2 linked regions of the Rhinolophus ferrumequinum genome follow. The protein of the gene in region 1 interacts with the protein of each later gene in a pairwise test. Links are inferred from orthologs where the notes say so. Each region holds a gene or a part of one and is shown in the gene's direction. Other genes may lie near its edges.

The links. The genes of interacting proteins can lie anywhere in the genome.
Region 2: the proteins of VENTX (region 1) and TBX22 interact in binary tests that used the Homo sapiens proteins (3 or more experiments, as listed by UniProt). The two-hybrid records come from large-scale screens. The link is inferred for Rhinolophus ferrumequinum from reciprocal best matches to the Homo sapiens genes VENTX and TBX22.

Annotation. Positions count from the first base shown.
Region 1 is NC_046299.1:302,272-306,016, reverse strand, and holds the start of VENTX (homeobox protein VENTX), read left to right. Parts: upstream 1-1,233; 5' UTR 1,234-1,238; intron 1,239-2,274; 5' UTR 2,275-2,315; intron 2,316-2,906; 5' UTR 2,907-2,986; coding exon 2,987-2,999; intron 3,000-3,745. UniProt on the Homo sapiens protein: May be involved in ventralization.
Region 2 is NC_046284.1:73,947,411-73,951,155, reverse strand, and holds the start of TBX22 (T-box transcription factor TBX22), read left to right. Parts: upstream 1-1,522; coding exon 1,523-1,691; intron 1,692-2,310; coding exon 2,311-2,488; intron 2,489-3,323; coding exon 3,324-3,425; intron 3,426-3,745. UniProt on the Homo sapiens protein: Probable transcriptional regulator involved in developmental processes. This is major determinant crucial to palatogenesis.

The DNA of each region.
Region 1 (3,745 bases):
GCGTGTTGGGGCGGGACTGCTGGGCCTCCGAGTGACAGACGGCACTGAGAGCGTGGGGAGCGCGTCCACCGTTCAACTCTAGGCCCCGCCACCCGCAGGTACAGGTGGGAGGGGACTCCGTCGCCTGCAGGCGCAGGGTTTGGGAGTATGTCGCCCCGACATAGAGGCCCGCGGCCGAGAGCACAGGCCACGCCCGCATGCTATCACGGGGTCTCCCAGGAAGACGGCCTAGGGGCTGCTGCGGAGTAGTAAACCCGGAGTGCGGGTCCCAGAGCCAGGGGAAGGGCAAGGTCCCGGCAGCCCCAAAAGCTGATCCTAAGCCCATTGAGGAAGCTGAGGCCGGGCATGGGTGACAGCTGTCACTGTCTCGAACAGCCGGGTTAGAGGGAGGGACCCAGACTACAGAAGGGGACGGGAGACCCCACTGGACGGGAGCCAGTCAGGTGAGAGGACAGCGTGCCGGAGCCCGTGGCAGGGCTGAAGGGAATGAGGGAGGGACCACTGGGCAGGAAGGGGGCCAGCAGCCTGGAGCTGGAGGGGAGGACTCCGGAAGGAGGGGGGCTATCTGACCTGCAGAGGCGCCGTCACCTTTGGACTCAGGAGAGGTGTTCAGGTGTGTGGGGGGGGCCGGGAATCTGGGAAAGTGAAGGCGGAGGGCCGCTAGAGAGTCCGGGATTAGACAGGAAGTCGCGCAGCACAATTGGGTTGCTGCGGGAGGTGTGGGTATGTGGTCGAGAGGCCAAAGGCCCGGCCCTAAAGACTAGAAATGGAAAGATGCCAAGTGCAGAAGCGGTGCGCATGAACGCCGACATTTCCTAAATGACAGCTTTGGGCGCATAGCTGGGCAATCCCAGGAAATGTGGCTCTTTATCTAGAGGCCTGTTCTGAGCACGTGGAGCTGTCCTGGGGGATACTTCCTTCTGCCAGGTTTGTGAGGCACCCCCAACCTGTCTGTCCCCGGAGGAGCTCTGCGCAGGCCCCCACCGGACGGGCCTCTGTCCCCAGGTAGCAGAACGTCCATGTCGTGTTGGCGCCAGAAGCCTGCCACACCCGCGTCCGGGGCCCCGCGCAGTGAGGGGGGGCGCCCCGCTAATCGCAAGCTGCAGCTCTTACCACACACTCCGCGAGACACGTGGCGAGTGATTCAAATCCCTAGCTTCATCCCGCGGAGTCCAGTGACCGAATGCGGTCGGTGCAGAGGCCGGAGGAACACCCCAGTCAGAGTCAGAGGCGTTGCGGTCAGTCCCCGACCTTTCACCTAGACCACGGGCCAACACGGGCCGGTTCCCGCTGTGCCGGTGGTAGTCCGGCTCCCACATCCCTGGCCCGTCCCTTCCGAGAGGCTGGGGAGGCGGGGCTGGGGTGTTAATCCCAGGGCGAGGCCCGCGGGCCCTTTGATTCCACAGGCTGGGGGCGCGGGGGTGGTCGTCGGTGCTGGGCCCAGACTGGCGCTGGCGCCCCAGGAGCCCAAGCTGCTGACCCAACCGTCTGCACCAAAGCCTCGGCATAGGCTCAGGGGCTGGACCAGCGCCTGCACCTGACTCCGGCCCCGGGGACGCACGCGAACTCCTAGCTGGCATTCTAGGGGTGCTCAGATCCGGGCGGTGGGTTTTTGCCTCGACTGCACCCGGTATGCTTGTGCTGGTCTTGTCCAGGAGACAGATGTGGTCGGCCAAGGTTGGCATAGAGGTCCAGAGGAGGCTGGACCAGCCTGGTTAGAGGGGCAACCACCGCACGGTGTCCACCCGGCTGAGCCTGCTGCCTCCCCCAGAGTACCGGGCCCTGGACGGGACCTGGCCAGTTCAGGAGAGAAGCAGCCACAGGGACAGGGTGACCTCCAGGCACTCCCCTGAAGCTCAGGCTCCATAGTGCCCTGTCACAAAAGTGGCAACTGAGTTACAGTCTGTCCCAGAGGTGGTGAGTCTGTTGGCCTTCCTGCTGGATTCCTCCTGGGAACAGCGCAGGGAGGTGGCCCAGCCCTGAGCCAGCAGACCTCCTCCTCCCTCCTCCTTTGTGTCACCCAAATCTGGAGGCAACTTGTGGCACCGGGACGAAACCCAGAAGAGGGGCTGGGAGTGACGAGACAGAAGGGCCTGTGGGAGCCTGGAGCAGACCCTCCCTGCCATGCCTGGCTTGTAGCAGTCACCTACCAGGAATGTCTGCCTTACATTCCGGCCCAGCCAGGCAGCCTGGACACAGCAGACACTGGTCGAACCCACCCCATCCTGAGAGCAGGATGCCGACTCCCCCAAGTTGAAGCGACCTCTCTCTCAGTTGCACAGTTGTCACCTCAGCACTGCAGACCCACAGGGCAGGTGGGAGAACCAACTAGGGGAGAGAAGATGGTCTGGCACCCCACAGGACAAGGCCCCAGCTTGGGAGCAGAGGTGGGAGGGGGCCATCCTCACCTTCCTGCTGCCTAGGCCAGTCCTGGTGGGGGTGGGGAGAGATGAAAGGATGTAACAAGTCCCCAGCCACCACAGCTCCCTTAACCATTGACCGCAGCCCCGCCCCTCCCCCAGACATCTTGGAGCCGGGGGAGGTGTGAATGGCCTCCTTTGTGCCTCTGAATTGAAGGCAATTAGATGCTACTTATCTGGGGGGATTTGAGCCATCTACGCAAACCCACCTCCCACCCGCTTCTCTGGAGCTTATAAATGCAGCCCTGCCCTGCTAAACCTGAGGCGGATCCAGTGCTCAGCCCGCCCCGCCTGCCACCCAACCCACAGCAGACCCCACGCCTGGCCCCCACCATCCAGTCATGCATCCTTCCTCCACACTGCCCGGTAGCCGAAAGCAGACCTCGAGCTTTGGCTGTGTGGACTGGCTCTCCCAGAGTAGCCATGTGGGCCGCTTGCACACTTCCAGACCTGGTGACGTTTCCTGGGGGGACCTCTCTGTCCCAGCCAGGGTGTCCAGCAGTTGGGAGGCCCCTCAGACCGTGGGCGTGGAGGAGCTGAAGTCCTCAGAAGCGTCTGTGCCAGGGATGTCCACAGCTGGTAGGTCTGGGAGTGTGGGGGGGTCCCTTCCTTCCCAGATTGGGATGGAAGTTGGAGAGAAGGGAACATGCCCCTGCCACATCCCGTGTGCTTGGGCGGGACAAGGGACCCAAGGGCCGGGGTTGGGGTCCCGCCTTACCCTCTGGCAAGTGAGCTTCCCCTCGGAAGCACAAGCCACAATGGGTTTCCCTCCTCACTCTTGGGGCTCCTCCAGCCTCCTCCTAGAGGGGCTGGCCCCCTGCCCCCACCCAGGCCTGCCGCCTGGGTCCCCACGGGGACACTGACGTTAGCACCTTTGTTTGCTTGGTTTTTGCGTCCATAATAGTCCTGGACCCATTTCTACAAGTGTCACAAGGTCGCAGATAAGTATGCCTTAAAGCTTGTGACATCTGCCCAGGTCATGGGGGTGGTTGTGGTCCCCCCCACAAAGCTGGCACCTCAGTTTGGCATCTAGACTTTGGCCAGTCCACAGTCCGCCTGCAGTCCTGCAGGTTTGGTTCAGGGGCAGCCAGGACTCTGCCTGAAGCCACAGCCTCTGCGTTTCTGCATGTGTGAATTTGTGAATTTCTCCGGCTTCGGCCCGTTCATCTCTGGGAGTCTCTGTGGCTCCTAAGCCTTATCTGACCCTTTGTCGTTTGCTGATGGCACTTTCTCGGTTTGTTTTTTACTCTTTGTGACTTAATCATTGGTTTAGGTTTAAAGACAGGCATGGTTGAAGTGGGGGTTGATGTTATCTAAGTTTTCAT
Region 2 (3,745 bases), on another chromosome or scaffold:
CAAGAGTCCAGGGGTGCCTGGTTTCTTATTTTTGATGAAAAGTGGATGACCAAATCCCAGGTATGCAGGCAGACATCTTATATCTGCGTGCATAGCCATGCTCCTTGGAAGTGGTAGGCAAGTCTCTTCCTGAACAAAGAAGGTGTCTTTATCCATTTTAAAGGAAAGCAAAACCGAGCCCAGGGAGATATTCCAGGAAACATTGGAATCAATTATTTGAGCCCATCATTTTGAGGTCCCTCATCCTTGGGAGTAAAGTTCCCCTTGGTGCTCTGCTGGTGGCACCTGAAGCCCTTAGGCTATGTTTGTTGATTAAATCAGGTGAGTAAGAAGAGGCTGTGTGTGAGAATATTGGGCTCCAGTACAGGCAGAGCTTGAAGACTCAGGATTGCTCTGATCATCGATAACGGGCATCTGGGAGCCTCCTGCCCACCCTTTGCCTCCCCACCTGGATAGAGGACAGACCAGTACACTGCCCACCCAGTTTGAGACCCAGACTACAGAACAAACCCCACCCCAGGCCCACAGAAAGCTTGCATTCCTCTAGCTTCATTAGGGCAAAACGGATAGTTGCTACTGGCTTACAGCAAAGTGGTCTAGAGGCCCCAGAATCACCCTGAGCTGCTCCATCCTATATGGTAACTACTAGCAACATGAGATGTGCTTAGAACACACTAGATGTGCTGCAAGTAAAAACTACATGCCAGGTTTTGAAAACTTAGTATGAAAAAATAAATCGTTTCTCCAGTATGCTCACTGGGAAACAAAAGACCCTGATACACTTTTCTGGATCTGGTTAAAAAATATTTGCACTTTTGCTGGAAAAGTGACCCCTCATGGGCAACTCATGGGCAATTTCGCATGTCTTTGAGTTTCACAATTTAAAGTAAAAGAGTAATTGTGTGTATCTCTCCTCCCCACTATCGCGAGCCCCTTTCCAGCTAACCCTCAACCCCACTCCATCCCTACTCCCTGTCAGACTCTGAAGTGTCACTCATTTTTATTTTTAATGTTTCCAGCAGTTTCCAAAACAAACAGTGGAGGCTGCGACGGGCTTGGTAGTCACTTAGTTGGATGCAACAGTATCTCTTAACCTGAGCCGCCTGAGCCGCCATTGGTGGCAGGTCCGCTCCCTAAGAGGCCCGCGCTTGCCAATCTCTGCGTTCTGCCAGGCCCTGGAATCAGGGAGTAGAGGACTGATGGTGCGCACATGTCTGTTGGGAGGGAGGAGACCGCAGAGGGAAGGAGGACTAAACTCCAAAGGACTTTGGCTTCAGTTTGATCTTCCTTCTCTTTCATCCTATTCAAAGAAAAATATATACGTATATATAAAAATTATATACACACACATCTTTTTTCTTTGAATATATATTAATCCAAAAATTGTTTTTTCTGATTTGGGTCCCCCCTCCACCCCCGCTTTCCCTCCTTCGCCTGTCCTCTGCGCCCTCCCTCCTCCTCCCTCCCTAACCCAGCTCAGGTTGAAAATTTGCAGTGCACATTCCCTTCTCCCCCTCCAAGGATGGCTCTGAGCTCTCGGGCACACGCCTTCTCGGTGGAAGCCTTAGTGGGGAGACCCAGCAAAAGAAAACTGCAGGAACGACGAGAGGAGGCTCAGCCTGAGCTGCTGGAGAAAGAGGGCGGAGAGGAGGAAGAGAGAGGGAGCGGCGCAGGGCGAAAAAGCAAGCCGGGTAAGTACCCCAACCGCACCCCAAAGCCCTGAGCCTGTTACCCACTCTTGCTGGATCTGCAAATTCCAGCGTGGTCTGCGAAGCTGCAGGAGGGCGGCTAGTACTACTACCATTGGAAATCCTGGCCCAGGCGATGGCCGCTTTCGGGGCCGCCGCGGGCCACCTTGGCCACCTGGCTGTTAGGGAAGTTTCAGAGCCTCCAAGTTCAGCAAAAAATTTGTGGTTCATTTACGGTGAAGGAGAAGATCTCCACATGTTTGTGGAGAAGTGAGACTCTCCAACCTCCCCAAAGCCCTGAGAGCCAGAGGGTGGCTGTTTCTCAGGGTAGGAAGCAGGGCACGCACCCAGATTCCGAGGGGATTCAGCCTCCGAGACCTAAAGTCTCAGAGATACTGGTGAGGATGGGTAAATTTGAAGAAGGACCGTGCCTTTCACAGGGTGCGACGTGGACTACTTGCTCACCATCAGGGGGCTACAATGGGTGTTGCGGGAACTTGGGGCTCCACCGCCAAGGTCCCCGGGGAAGAGACAAGGTGGGTCTGCTCCGAGACAGGCGTCAGCGAGAAGGGAGTGTGCTAACGGCCAAGCTCTCTCAAACTCTTGGCGTCTCTGTATCCAGCAGAAAAGCGACCCAAGAAAGAGCCCTCGGCAACTGCATTCTCAGGCTGTGGCGGCGGCGGCAACAGCAGTGAAAGTCTGGGAGAGAACGATGCTATCCAAGTGGAGCTTCAAGGATTCGAGCTGTGGAAGAGATTCCATGACATAGGGACTGAAATGATTATTACCAAGGCCGGCAGGTTCGGCTCTGCCCAAGCTGTTCAAGGGCCACACACAGTAGATACTTAATATAACTCTCTCATAAGATGTGGTGCCTCCAGTTTTACGCTCTAGCACCCATCCCCCCATGTCTCCACCCCCGACAGTCATTATAAAGCCACTGCCTCTCAATGGATCAGAGTAGGATAGTACCTGGCCCATGTCAGTGGCTTTCCTGTACATTGTGACTCCAATGACTCATTCTCCCAGCTTTTACCTGTGTGATGTACTACAAAAATTAGACCTGCTAAGGCAGGTGCCAGATGCCACCCCCACATCTTAAGTTATGGTCAGGCCTCTCCATTAAATCCTCACAGTTATCAGTGGATAATATCCCATCTAGCAGCCTATCCATCCCACCTAGCCCAGGCTAGTTTGAGGTGGACCATTCCCACTTTGACCTTTTGTTGTTGGGCAGCTTCTTTGGGGCAGCTGGGTAATTTTTTGTGTGAATCTTCCTAATTGCAGTCTTTCCTAAATCTGCCTCACAGAAAGTAGTGCTGAAAACTTGAGGGGAGGGGCACAGCTTTTTCTCTCTTCCTTGCTCTTCCATAGTTTTTTTATTATGATGGTAGTGGGGAGTAGGGTGGACAAAGCCTTGTGGTAAGGATATTCTGCTCTAATCAGAAATCTTGAACTTGCTCAATCACGTATACAACCAACAGTCTGTTTTCATGTAGCAAATGACATTCCCTAAACCTGTCCTAGAATGAGAAGGGTATTGTGAATTTATTCACTTCTCATTTGTCCCCATCCTTGCCCCACTCCAACTGTCTCTAAAAGCGCCCAGGTCAGTCGCTATTTTCTCTTCCACAGGCGGATGTTCCCCTCTGTTCGGGTCAAGGTGAAAGGTCTGGACCCAGGGAAGCAGTACTGTGTGGCCATCGACGTGGTGCCTGTGGATTCCAAACGCTACAGGTAACCTGCCCAAAGAAGGATACCCCAGGCCCGGGCTGGGAATGGGGATTCTGTTCTTTGTAACCTGAGAGTGCTGTTTTGAAAAACTCTAAAATGGGGGGTGGCGGGGTGGGGAGGGATGAGAGTTGAATTTGCTCGCTCAACCTGGGTTTCACAGTGAGAGAAGAGCAAGTTTCCTCTGTTTTCCTCTAACTCGTGGAAGCAGGTGCCAATTGGTGTTTCAATGTCTCCCAAACCCTTCACCTACCCACTCTTCTGGCTTTGGCTGTCCAAACTACAGAAGGTGTGGGTTCAGGAGGCTAGGAAGCTATGTGAAGGAA